Drosophila melanogaster: one gene and its partners. The gene in region 1 interacts genetically with each later gene. Each region holds a gene or a part of one and is shown in the gene's direction. Other genes may lie near its edges.

What was found.
Region 2: of GlcAT-P (region 1) and repo, changing one enhances a phenotype caused by changing the other (phenotypic enhancement), as found in Drosophila melanogaster (one study listed by BioGRID).
Region 3: of GlcAT-P (region 1) and Tb, changing one suppresses a phenotype caused by changing the other (phenotypic suppression), as found in Drosophila melanogaster (one study listed by BioGRID).

What each region holds. Positions count from the first base shown.
Region 1 is NT_037436.4:11,194,438-11,199,506, reverse strand, and holds the start of GlcAT-P (glucuronyltransferase P), read left to right. Parts: upstream 1-1,970; 5' UTR 1,971-2,107; exon of another isoform or gene 2,108-2,268; intron 2,269-2,631; 5' UTR 2,632-2,940; intron 2,941-5,069. Other genes in the region: Plod (procollagen lysyl hydroxylase), read left to right, coding at 115-241, 303-737, 797-1,081. UniProt on the Drosophila melanogaster protein: Involved in the biosynthesis of L2/HNK-1 carbohydrate epitope on both glycolipids and glycoproteins. Enzyme has a broad specificity.
Region 2 is NT_033777.3:18,234,311-18,240,221, forward strand, and holds repo (reversed polarity), read left to right. Parts: upstream 1-1,881; 5' UTR 1,882-2,186; coding exon 2,187-3,109; intron 3,110-3,524; coding exon 3,525-4,440; 3' UTR 4,441-5,292; downstream 5,293-5,911. Other genes in the region: CG7156 (uncharacterized protein), read right to left, coding at 5,582-5,800, 5,860-5,911.
Region 3 is NT_033777.3:26,654,736-26,658,162, forward strand, and holds Tb (tubby), read left to right. Parts: upstream 1-1,704; 5' UTR 1,705-1,793; coding exon 1,794-1,808; intron 1,809-1,869; coding exon 1,870-2,706; 3' UTR 2,707-2,796; downstream 2,797-3,427.

The sequences.
Region 1 (5,069 bases):
TCGCAACATTGTTGCAAATCCGCTGGACATCGAGATCATTCCGCTCTCGACTTTATCGTTCGCCCTGTTTTGACTAACTCATTCGTCACTTGCGTTTCGTTCGCCCATTTCCAGTGGAATGTTCAATGTGCCCCATGTAACGAGCATATATCTGGTGAAGAAAACCGCCTTCGATGCCATCTCCTTCAAGCACAAGGAATTCGATCCCGACATGGCCATGTGCGAGTCACTCCGAAATGCGGTAAGTGTTTGACAGAACATCGTGTTCAATTGGTTACTAATGTGTCCACTCTTCTGTCCAGGGTATCTTCATGTACGCCAGCAATCTGCGCATATTCGGTCACTTGGTCAACGCCGATGACTTCAACACTACGGTGACACGTCCGGACTTTTATACGTTGTTTAGCAACGAGATCGACTGGACGGAGAAGTACATACATCCGAACTACTCACTGCAGCTGAACGAGAGCAACAAGATACAGCAGCCGTGCCCGGATGTCTATTGGTTCCAGATCGTGTCGGACGCGTTCTGCGACGATTTGGTGGCCATCATGGAGGCGCACAACGGTTGGTCGGACGGCAGCAACAACGACAATCGGCTGGAGGGCGGATATGAGGCGGTGCCCACCAGGGATATCCACATGAAGCAGGTGGGCCTGGAGCGGCTCTATCTTAAATTTCTTCAAATGTTCGTTCGTCCGCTGCAGGAGCGCGCCTTTACGGGTTACTTCCACAATGTGAGTCAAAGAATTATCATTTTGAAGATTTTGTTTTAATATTCTCACTAATTTTGTAGCCTCCACGCGCGCTGATGAACTTCATGGTGCGTTATCGGCCGGATGAACAGCCTTCTCTGCGACCCCACCACGACTCCTCCACGTACACCATCAACATTGCGATGAACCGGGCGGGTATTGACTATCAGGGCGGTGGCTGTCGTTTCATTCGTTACAACTGCTCCGTGACCGATACGAAGAAGGGATGGATGCTGATGCACCCGGGTCGACTGACTCACTACCACGAGGGATTGCTAGTGACCAATGGCACGCGTTACATCATGATTTCCTTCATCGATCCGTAGGGTAGCTAATTTAAGTCGTACTCTTTATATCAAACTGCCATATCGGCCACTCCAAAGAACTGCATACTAAGCCCAATGAACAATTTATGTTGATGGAATTGCGGCATCGGCCTTCTATTTCTGATGATTTTACATACTACTTTGAGATCGATAGCTTTAGGATACTCTGATGAATCTGTTGCAGCCTTAAGTTAATTATAAGCTTTTTTACCAAGTGCAAAGTGTTCAATTTTTGAATAAATTAATTCAATTATTAAATGAAATACATTTGGTTTTGTTTTTGTCTGGAGAAATTCTTATCTTTTATAATTTCAAATCAAATATTTAATTTACGTGGTTCAATTTAATTCGCTTTCGAAAGAATATTGTTCTCTAACGTGAAATGCTGAACCAACACAGCTGTTTTGCGAAAGCGGGATAGCACCTTCAACAGTGCTGCCCCCCACGCAACTAACAGCAGCGGTTGTGCAGACTTCTGCTGTTAGCAAACATTTACAGCAGACACTTGACAGAATGCACACCAAAATTTCTCTAGTGAGTTTTAAAATAAATAAATCTATATGAACTTTAAAGTTTTTTAATCAAAGATAAATATATTTCTAAAAAAAAGCAGGATGTGCATACATAACATTTTATTTTGACTAAATAAAGATTTACACGCTGCCATAATTTAAAATTCAACAAAAAACATATTCTATTTTAATGTATATTTTTTTATATTTTAACATATGAGAGGCTAACAGAGTAGCTTGATTACAGAACCCGTAAGAATGTTAGGAAGTCGAACCACTGCGTACTGTTGTTGCATCGAGCACAAGGCTTCGAACTTGCGCGAGTTCGAACGACTCCAAAAGAAAAGTGTATTTAAGCGCTTGGCGAAGCACGCTCTATGTTATTGCTCGATTTTCGTCCGCGTAGCTGGTTGGTTCGTCACAATTTTTTATAAATTAGGAAGAACTAAATAAACTAAGCGGACATTGGCTTAAAGGCCAGCAAACAATATACGGAAATAAACAAGTTTGTTGGGTAAATGCAACTGAAATTGACGAATACTTTCGAGAAATTTAGAAGACTCCAGTGTTTGCAGACTTCGTGTGCGGGTGGTGTGCGGTACATTTACAGTTAGTTGCGCAAAGTGCGTGTTTAAAAATAACAAAAATCGACGCTGGATATAAAAACCGAAATAAGTAGGGAGAGCAATAAATGAGTGGCGAAGAGAAATGCAAATTTATCGAGTCGGTCAATTTAAAAAAGCCGCATCCTGGAAAATTGTGTGCGTGCGTTCGTGTGTGTGTGTGTCTGTGAAATAAACAAAAAAGGCGAAAGTTTACTCGCTCTCTCTCTCTTTCTTACTCTCTGTTGCTCGCTGTGGCGCTCTCTCTTTCTGTCGCAGGACTTGCTTCGATTTTTCTTCCGCCTGCTTTTCCTGTTTCATTTCCCTACATTTTTTTATTACTCTATTTACACTTGGCGAGTCCTGCCTTATGTGTGCACACATGTGTATGTGTGTGCTTTCTCACACCTGATGTTTTTGTTGTTCCTGCTTTCAGCCGCTCCTGTTGGCCAAGTTTTTTTTTGTTGTTGCTTTGGCAACCGTTGGAACAACAACAGCAGCAACAACAACATAAACAACAGGGACACATAAGGGTACTTCCATTTCTGAAAACATTTGCTCTTTTGAAACAAAAAATAAAAAGAAAGAAAAACCCAGCCAGACAGTCTGGAAAATCCATAGAAATACAAACACAATTTTAAGTCGGCACTAAAAACCGAAAGTGGCTGTATCCCCGATTTTGATGAGCAGCCAACGGAGATTTCCGGTATCCAGCCAAATGGCGAGGTGGAGTTCCACGTTCCAGGTGAGTGCGATATAGTGCCACATGCCCACCCCACCCCTTTATAATTTCACCGCACACGGTGAGAAATACCATTTTCTCCACTTTGCAAACATAATCGTATCGAACGCAATTACCAAAAATCATTTGACTTGAAACAGGAAACACTAGCTGGAAAAAATTTTATTTATTATCAGCATTTCAAGCATATTCACTTTCATGATTGATTGCACTTAAACCGTTGCCATTGAACGAGGTCAAAAAATAGTATCTTAAAGGAAAGGTAAAATTTAAAGATACGACAATAACATTTTCAGTTCCAATTAAACTGTTTTCAATGATGAAAAAGTAGTTTGAAAGCATACTAATTTTTAAAAACAAAAAGTGCTTGCAACTTTAAGAAAACGTTTCATGATTGATTGCACTTAAATTTTTGCCATTGAACATGGTCAACAAATAGTATCCTAATGGATAGGTAAAATTGAAAGATACGACAAAAACATTTTCAGTTCAATCGAACTGTTTTTAATCATGAAAAAGTTATTTTAAGCGTACTACTTTTTAAAATTAAAAAGTGTTTGCTACTTTAGGAAAACATTCATTGTTATTTATATTTATTAATATTTAATATTAAACAAATATTTTCATAATTTATAACTACTTATAGCAAAGGCAATAAGAAATATGAATATTGGATAATAATATTAAATTACGGTACTATAATATTAACTTAACTTAACTAAAATATTAAGTTACGGTAGTTAATATAATTCTTTACTGCTCTTCAGTAACTTCGAAGCTGGCTTCACTAAATGTGTCTTCTCACACAATATATTAATTATATATTTGCATATTACCTGAAAACCAAGCCGAGTCTTAGCCTTGAGTTGTCAAAACTGCTCACTATCAATATATTATATGCGGTATACATACGTATTTATTTATTTATTTTTTTTCCGTGGAGTTAAGTTCGCATGTGTGTGCCGATTGCTTGATATTTTCTATTAGCGGGTGCTGGATTTTCCTTGCTCGTCGCCGTGAGCAGCTGCTAATGGGTTGTGAAAAAAGTGGGCGAACGAAGCGGGCTGGAAGGCTGTGGAAAAGTTAGGGAGGTGTGTGTGTGTTTGGGGGAGGGGGGGGGGGGGTGTGGCCAAGCATGTGTGAAACTTCCTCACAGTGGAAAAACATATGGTGGCAAGTTCAGTGCTTAAGGTTCGAGAACGCAAGTTTCCACACTTGATTATATGGCCCATAAATTTGTAGTACATTTAAATAAATGCCATATCTTTGCAGCTTACGTGTTTTGGTATATTATTTTATTACTATTAGGTGAACACAATTAAATTTTAGTTACAAAGTTCTGTTGTTAAGATGTATAATGCTTCTTAAAGATAAAAACCAGTTACATATATACCAGATTAAGCTAGAAGTTTTAGGTTAGGCAAATAAAAATCTAAAGTGTAACACAATTTAAAACTATTATTCCAGTGGATAGTTTTGCATATGTTCCTGATTTTTTGTGTGAAGTTCTTTTTTATTTGTTTGTAGATTTTCGAGATGTTTCCTGCAGGCGAATGCCTCGCAAAAATTTACCAACTGGACCACAAGAAACATGTGGTAATGATAAAGAATTCTTAAGCAGCTTTCTATTTTTGGAATAAACATGTTTAGCGTGTTTGTTAGTTGAACTAGTTAAAGTTTAAACATCAGATTTCCATCAGCTTGGTGACCCAGAACAAGAGTCCGTCGCTTGAAATGTCATTGGCTTCCTATGAAGAGGACTTCTTCAAGGGCTTGGAAGCCCTATATCAAGTCTACATCCCGGCAATCATCATAAAAGAAACCAGCTGAGCTGGCCCGGGGCAGGTGGATGGATAATGGTGCACCTCTCTCTGGAAGGCACATATGCAAATGTTGGCCCAGTGCCCCCCACTTGGAGCTTCACCTCCGTTAAACCCCTCCTCCGCTCCACGACCATGTGCGTGCGTGCGAAATCTGCGAGCAGAGGCAAAATGATTAACAAAGGCTCCCCGAGGTGCGGCAATATGTTGGGGCGGCACCAGCAGTGGGTGGCTATTTGTACTAGACGTGCACTGGCAGAAATTACGTGTGAGAAGATCTTGATCTTTTACGGACATAACTTATTGGGCAAA
Region 2 (5,911 bases), on another chromosome or scaffold:
TTTTTCATTCGATCAATGCGGGCCGGTCTTTGAGGACAGAACTTTGCCATTGGATTGTGCAACTTTGTCTTAATTTAGACACCAAAATTGCTCGTTAACTTCCTTAACAACTAAGAAAAAGTTAATGTTTTTTGTTTGCTTTTGAAGAATTAATATTCATTTGACATCAGATACTTATTTTTTCTTGGTAAAAAAAAAAATAACGAAGCTATAAATTTTTCAACACCCAATATATTTCCAAATATTATCACCAAATTTGCACTTCAAATTGGATTGATGATGATTTGTCCATTGAATATGTTAGAAATATTTTCATATGGGTTTTTTAAGTAAATATCTAAATAAGTAACTCTTAAAGATCACCGATCCCAATGAATGTATAGCTCTACCCACTTTCACCCTCTTCGATTGCAATGCCCACATGATTCGGCAGCCTTCTTCCCACTTCCCATTCAAATGCTCCGTGAAATCTTCGGATCTGTCCAAATGAGCCATAACTTAGCCCCTGACTAAGTGCCCACCTCGGCGCGATCGAAGTACCAGCATCTGGCCAAAAGGTCACACGCAACAGCGGACTGGAGGAAAGGGGAGCATGCCAATCCTTGAGAGGGTGACACGCGCTGTGGGAAGATCGAGCGATCAGGGTGTGGAAACGGGCTGAAGTGGAAGAAGAAGGTCACAAGCGTGCCACCAAGTCGCTGCCTTACAGGGGTTGCAACCTCGAATGGAACCACCCTCATGAGTCCAATTGGAACCACGACCATCGGAATTCCTCGGCTAGAAGTTAATTGTTCGTCCAACATGTGTGACGATGAAGGTGCATTGTTACGGATAGCGATGACCATGAGGTGGACGCGAAATAGATGGGCTCTCTCAACTTTGGGCGAAATTAATCTGTATCAATGGATTGCCAACAAGAAGCCGCTAAATTGGGATTGTACATACATAAGTGCATATGGAAATATAGTGGATGTTAAAAACCCCCCTTTTTAGGTTTTATCTGTGATACGATCTTTAGAACGATTAGAAAGCAGCATAGTAATTTTCATCTCTTCGCCAAAATTGAATGCTTTAATATGGCTATAACTATTCCCACTAGTTTGATAAACGGTTCTGAAATCGAAAACATTTGAAAAGATAGTATAGTATATATACCAGACATAAACTTAATCCTTCAAATCGTTCAACATTCTTCTTATTTCGGCCCCCAATCTTATAGATACCTTATCTCCATATATCGAATCATAGATCATACCATAGATTATCTTCTGTACCATACATTATTATTAATAGGTATGCGATAGTTTGTAACTGCATGGTAACAGAACACAATCAGTTCATTTATATGATATCTCCTAATATGACTATGCTTTCATGATTCTATATCCTCATTATAAATAAAACATAATTCAATAGTAGGATAACAATAAGATCAGCGTGCCATTAGAGTCCTTAAATCCGCTCTAAGAACTGAGAGCCAGTAGAGATGCAAGTCCCGGTTCCCAGGACCCCATCATCCCGTCGTGCTCTTCCGTTCCCAGAACATCTCGATCTGCTGGTAGCCGTGTGCCCGCGAAGCTGAAGACCAAAAACTGGACCCAGGCAGCTAGACCCAGTCAAAAATAAAAAAACAGAAAAAAGAAGAAAAAATCGCAAAGTAGGGGAGACCACACCCCGCTGAATGGAAAATCGTCGAATCGCTGGGCAAGCGGAAAAGTCACACACGCCAGCATGAAACGCACAGAGCGGCGTTCGCATGCGCCGTCCCGCTCGCACGGCGATAGTGGCGGCCGATGGAGCGATGCGATTGGTCGCTGCCAGCGCTGCTGCTGCGCTGCCGCCTGCGCCGGTATAAAAGGACAATCATCGCCAGTAGCCGAGTCAATTAAGGCCAAAGACTCGAGCGGTGAGCGTGCGGCTCTACTCCCATATATACATATATATATATATATATATTCAACATCCTAACCGATAGAAAAGTAGCAACAGCAGCCCAGTTATGTGCTTGCCAAATGCAATTAACAACTGATTGATTTGGAAACTCAGCAGCGATAATCGAGTTGAAAATCAACCAAATAATACACTAAATGGATTGAAAGTGTCGCAGTGGCAAAAGTGTTGTTAGCTAGTTAGTGTGTCTTGTGTGCTGTTACTGTGCGTTCCAAGGATTAAAGTCGTGGAGGAGAATGGAACACGATAGCTTCGATGATCCCATTTTCGGGGAGTTCGGCGGCGGGCCACTCAATCCACTGGGCGCCAAGCCACTGATGCCCACCACAACGGCCATGCATCCCGTGATGCTGGGCAGTGTCCACGAGTTGTGCAGCCAACAGCAGCAGCAGCAGCAGCAGCAACGATTGCCCGACTGCAACACCATACTGCCGAATGGCGGAGGAGGAGGAGCAGGATCTGGCGGCGCTGGAGGATCGCCCAACTATGTGACCAAGCTGGATTTTGTCAACAAGATGGGCTGCTACTCGCCCAGCCAGAAGTACGAGTACATTAGTGCGCCGCAAAAACTGGTGGAGCAGCAGCAGCAGCAGCAGCATCATCATCAACATCATCAGCACTACACGGCCACGCCCCCGCCCAGCCACAATGGCATCCTGCTGCACAAGCAATCCTCCCAGCAGCAACAGCAGCAGCAGCAACAGCTGGTGGGCATCCTGGACTATCATCCGCTCAATGGCAAGCTGGACTACTCCTCGTCGCCCAAAGATCAGTACGAGCCGCAGCAGCTGCAGCATCTGTACGGCGGCAGTCCGCATCATCTGGACCATTTGGATCATGGCAGTGATGGCTTGCTCCAGGACTCCTCGCCCGTCATGATCAACGGAGGATCCGCTGGTGGCAAGCTAAAGAAGCCCGATGAGATGTGTTCGCAGTTGGAGGCGGGTGGTGCTGGAGTTACTCCGCCAAGTAGTTCCTCCACGGTGGTTAATGGCACCACCAATGGCACTGGCAACGCCAACTCCTCCTCCTCCGCTGGCGTCGGCATTCAGGGGGCGGCGGGCACAGCGGGGGGCGTGGCAGCTCCTGCAGCCAAAAAGGACGGAAGCAGCAGCAAGAAGAAGGGCGATCCCAATGGCATCAAGAAGAAGAAGACGAGGTAAGCGGTCGAAGCTGCTACGCTGTCAATTAATTTAACGACGGGAAATCAATGAAATTATGTGGCACAAGATGATAGCACTTGCTATTTATGACCGTGACCACGGGGCGTATGAGTAATTTGGAGTAAGGACATTGCTAGCAACTCGCACGGAAACCCGTGCAATCTGGGGGGCTAATTATTAAATAATGAGTACCGATAGCAGATAGATAGATCCACAGAACATGGTTATCTCTATAGAATTTTCTAATATTCTAAAATATAGTTTCAGTTTAGAACTTTTTTGTAATATAAATAGATACTATGGGTTTTTTCATTTTTCCCTTTTTTTAATCCCTATTATATGACCAACTAACTGTATGAATCCCATTCAGACTTTCATCTAATCCTCTATACTTTCCATTTTTACCTTCAGAACCACCTTTACTGCCTACCAGCTGGAGGAGTTGGAGCGTGCCTTTGAACGTGCTCCGTATCCGGATGTTTTCGCCCGCGAGGAGCTGGCCATCAAGCTGAATCTGAGCGAATCCCGTGTGCAGGTGTGGTTCCAGAACCGACGGGCCAAGTGGCGCAAGCACGAGCCACCGCGCAAGACGGGCTACATCAAGACGAGCACTCCGCCGACGGCGACACTGAATCCCGGAACCCTAGCCCCACCATTCACTAGCTACCCGCAGACGACGACGGTCACGCCGCCGGGCAGCATGGACAGCTGGACCAGCTACCAGACGCCCTACGAACTGACGCCCCAGTTCAGCCTGCTCTCGCCGGCGGCCAGTCCGTATGGCACCTATTCCGGCCAGTACGGTGCCTATGTGCACGAAAGCCAGCTCTTCCCGATGCGTCACTACGAGTACGGTAGTCCCACGCGCATGGAAATGGGCGCCACAACCGGTTCGGTGGCCGGAAACGGAGATGAGTCGGTGGCCAATGGCGGCAGCTATCAGACGGCGGAACTGCAGACCGCCCAGCAGCAGCAACTGGCCGACGGCACACTGGTCACCGTCCATGCCCACCAACAGCAGCAGCAGCAGCAGCAGCAACTCAATGGCAAGTACCTGAGCGCCGAGGAGGCCAAATACGTGCACCTGCAGTGCCATCAGAGTGGAGGTGGTCTGGAGCTAAGTCCCGGCGCCAGCTGTCATCTGGTGGAGGCGCAGGGCCAGCACTATGTGACCACGGCGACGGGAGGAGCTGCATCCGCGGGCGGCACCAGCAGCGATGACAACGACAGCGGCGGCATGCAGACTGTGATCAAGAGCGAGGAGGTCTCCCAACAGCAGCAGCAGCAGCAGGGACAGAGCTACGTCCTGCCGCCTTTTTTGCACTGAGAGAAATGCTCACACACCGGCGACAGCAACAACACCAGCGACGCTGGGCCACGCCCATCAGCACGCCGAACGCCCGTTTCCGTCGGCCATTTTGAAGGGATGGAGGCGTGGCGTGTGCAGCATTTCCAACTGTGTTTCTCCGACTGAAAGTGGGGCTCCAGAAAAGCGGATTCCCAAAGATAAAGCCTCATAAGTAGTAGAATTCATCATCGGATTACTTAAAACTAGTTGCTTTCAAAAAATTTGGCGAGAGTCCACAAATTTTATATTTAATTTGATAATATTGTTTTTTTAGTTTATATTTCCAATCCCTTGGAGTTTTTCTAGCCAGTCCCACACAGTTTCTAGCCACTGTTTTCATATTGCCATAGGTTCCTTTTAGGTTTAATGACGCAAGTTGCAACAACAACGGAATCCACAAGTCTTGCCAAATCATAATGAGGTTATTATGCCTGTCTAAGTCTAGGTTAATCTAGGGCTAGGGGCTCTGCAACGAGAGCCCCGCCCCCAGAATGCATTCCAAATGTGCCTTACCAAAACGGGTGACGAGTGACCTCCCTCCAAATTGGAAAGCTTCGTTGCCCAACAAACTTAGTTTTAGTTATTCTACTCGTAGACTAAGTTCCATTTGCTGTTTTTGCTGTAGTTAGACAATAAAGTGCTTTTTATATTGTATACTAGCTCATTTGGCTTTACAAATTTTATTACTTACTAATTTTGTAAAATGGCTTGCAAATTTTGTTACAACTACATTCAATTTAGTTTAATTTCTAATTGTAAGCAATTACATAAACTAGGACACTTTGCAAATGTATATAATAGACGTATAAATAAATCGTATTTTGTACCAATAATTGATCAGCTTCCAATTCAAAAAAGGAACAACATAAAAGACTCATAAAAACAAAACTGATGGTTAATACACTTGTTTTCGAAGACAAGTATTAAAAGTAATGCATAGAAAATAATATAGCAGATTCACAACATAATTAATCGCTATGGAGCGACTTCAGATTCTTTGAAAGTAATCAAAATCAATGCCAATCAGAACTGAGCAAGGAATCACAAATGGGATTTCAGGTACAGTACGAAATAAGAAAATACTTTACGGACTCAATAGCAAAGCAAATAGTGCCTATTTTCACATGGACTCAGTTCCCTGCTCCAAAACCGCCTGCCAATCGATGCCTTTGAAGAATGGATGAGCCTGCAATTGGTCGTAGTCCAAACGTAGCTCCGGAGAAAGCTGCAGCAGTTGCTCCAGCAGATCCTTGGCATGATCGGAAATCTCCAACGACTCACTAGGATACTGAACACAACCATAGAGGTCCAGTTGCCCGGGATGCGTGACTTTGTAGGGCTGGAAAGAAAGCAGATTGCTATTATCCAAACATTTTCAATCGAGAACTCAAAACTTACAACTCCCAGCAGAAGCTGATAGAGCACCACGCCGTAGCTCCACCAGTCCGAG
Region 3 (3,427 bases), on another chromosome or scaffold:
CACAGTTTTCTCAATGCCAATCAAAATACAGACAATGAAGACGTTTTTTTTTAGCAATTTCGCCAACAAGATTATAGCTTTCTCCCATAAGCTGTTGCTTGCGCTTTTAGCCAAATTAAAATAATTTGTGCAGTGTATGTCGACAGGAAACTCCATTGGCACCGTTAGCTACCTTTCCTACCACCACCACCACAACTGACAACGGCAACTGTTATGCGTGTGAAATTATAACTGACAGCGGAGCTTCTTTTGTCGCCGCCGACTCATCCTGGCATGCGGTTCATTGAATAATTTATGCACTATAAAGTGGCAGCAGGCCCATTCCATTCCGCCGGATCCGGCGATTCCTTACTTTCAGGCCAAAAAACAGGGCCAAATGCCAGTGAGAGCGACAGGGAACGAGTTGTTTTGCATTTCAATGCAAATGCGAAAACTTCATTAAGTGCCCCTGGAACTATTTATATTAATTGCATGCGTGTCCTGCTGCCAAACAAATATTTCCACCTCAGCTGGCCAACTAATTAGAGGTCAAATCAAACGGAAAATTGTTCATTAAGGGAGCGACAGACGATCGCTCATCATTAAATCCACTCAATTAGGAAAAACAATTTGATAAATTTAGTTTAAATCAAATTATTACAAAAGCAGTTGGTAGCCTGTGGCTGCCACACATGTTGCACGCGACTGCCAGCTACCAACCGCTCGTAATTGGCTTAATTGGGCATTTATCGTCAATCACGGAGTTGCATGTTCATGTTTGGCTTGAAAAATGCATATTTCCGTAATTAGCTTGATTGCATTTCGATGGCAAGCGCCACAGGGCCAACAGACATTGGGGCTAAGTTCATTACCGGCGTAACAGTTTGACAGCCACTGCTGGCAGCCCTATAAGTATGCAACGAATGGCTCTAACCTTAAGTTCAATTGGGCAATCGATGAATGAATCAAGCATATCAAATTCCACTATGAATGCCATCATAAATGCCCAGTAATATGCAAATTGAAAACACAATAAAACAAATCCCTAAACCACACAAAAATGCCACAAGCGATATGGGGTTAATTTGCATAAATAGGTTTTTTGTCTGCGCCCCTTTTGTTTTTTGTTGCTAGTCAGTGTGTTTACGAAATCGAAATTATGTATCATAAACTAGATACGGTGGACAGTCGGCAGAGAGTCGCAGCTCGATTAGCGATTGATTTGTGATCCATCATAGCCAGTATTCACTGCCACGGTTTACCAATTTGCAATTGCCGGAAAGATATATTGACTGAATTAATTAATATTGAATTTGACCAATCATTCGCAGAATTCTGTGGACACTGTAATTGATTTATTTTCTTCCTTTTTTCGCCAGCTATATGGCTGTACTGCAATTAATTAAATACGACCAGCTATGCAAATCGCATGGCATTGCTCCACTTAAGTGGCCATAATTTCTGGTTTGGCCTACCAACATCCAGTTCCGTCGTGGTTTGTTTTTGCATTTCATTGCCAACGAAATTGGCAAACCGTTTTCGAATTTATGCAAACAAATGCTGGCGGATACAGTTTTGAGGGCTTTGCGTCACCTGCAACGGGTATTGGTATTTGTGCTGGATTAGCATCAATGGCATGGGCTACACCCGCTGTCTCATCACGAAAATCTGCATCTTATATTGGACCTGATTAGGGTCGGGCTATAAAAACGCCCCTCGACAAGATGGGCTGTAGCATTAACAGTTTACACCTCCCGGCGTGCCCAACACGTTAACAGATTGGATCGAATATTGGCTAGGATAGGGCTATCAATATGCGTGGATTTATTGTAAGTTTAAATGGTATTATTAGTTTGAAATAGTTGGATTAACCTGAGCTTTCTTTGCCAGATTTTTGCTGTCTTGGCTGTGGCTCGCGCTGATGTAGGCGGCTATAACTATGGAGCTGGCATTGGATCAGGCGGATCCATCTCGGGAGGCTCTCTGTCTGGAGGCTCCATCTCTGGAGGCTCGATCTCAGGTGGCTCCATCTCAGGTGGCTCCATCTCAGGTGGCTCCATTTCTGGTGGTTCCCTTTCTAGTGGTTCCCTGTCCGGGGGATCTTATTCCACTAACTACGCTCCTGTAAACACCGAATTTAACAAGGAGTTCTTCACCTACTCCGCTCCCGAGGCCGATTTTGAGGATAATAAGAGTGTCAGTGATCTGGCTGCTACTCTGAAGAAGAACCTCCGTGTGGTTTTCATCAGGGCCCCCGAGAATAAGGGTCTGGAGAACGCCGCTCTGGCCTTGGCCAAGCAGGCTGCCGAGCAGCAGACCGCCATCTATGTCCTGACCAAACAGGGTGATCTGTCCAGCCTGGCCAACCAGCTGCAGAACCTGAACCATGTGAGCGCCAGCAAGCCGGAGGTGCATTTCGTCAAGTACCGCACCCAGCAGGACGCCATCAATGCCCAGCGTACCATTCAGCAGGAGTACGAGCGTCTGGGTGGAGCCAGCACCTCCTACAACGGAGGCGTGGCACCAGTCCTGGACTTTGCCACCAAAGTGCAGCAACAGCAAGAGCAGCAGCAGCAACAGCAACAGCAGCAGGTGCAGCTGATTGATGAGCGTCGGCCTTCCAGCGGAAGTGTAAGCGCCGAACTGGAGGCTCCTTCGGCAGGATATATTCCACCACCAGCCGCAGCGCCTAGTGCCACGTACCTGCCTGTGAACAAGGTCAAGTAGGAAACCTGCAAGACCACATTCTTATTTACGAATTAGCTCACACATTCTCCTTTAAGTGCTACCGTATAAAATATAAACTTAACTTAATGTATGCCCGATATATTGTTGCTGTCGAGATTAATGCAGGAAGTCATTTCAGCGCCTTGTAGCCACTATCGGCCAGAGCCTGAGCAGCAATTAAAACTAAAAGCGCATTGGCATTGGAGGGTTTGGGTTTAAAAGGGGTTGTAAATTTAAGTGCATGCCCTCTGACACCGGATTCGTTGCCAGCGGTTTATGGCACGTCACCGACGACCAGTGTTGACCCGTCCTAAAGTACTACCACCATACACGCGATCAGGGCCAACTGGTCTGGGCTAATTACCGCCGCACAGAGCCAATTTCTGGCGCTTCATGACCGCGACCAGTCGCGACATTTAATGGGTGCCCTTTTGAGGGTCAAGTCGGTGGCAATTTGGTCCTGCCACTGTTGCAGCCAAAGAAACCCACACTGAGAATTAAATGAAAATTACTAGCTACATTTTGGAGCGCACTCCTTTGTTGACCGTCGTGAAATTTCAGCTAGCAAGCAAAGAAAACCACAAAACTTCTAAACCAGAAAGCTTTGCTTTGTTTTCTGTTACGCCACAGTCCTTGCGCGGCAACAGAAGTCCTCTCAACGGCATACCTCAAAATAATTTAAGAATGCAGTTTTAATGGCAATTCCATTTGCAGCCAAGTG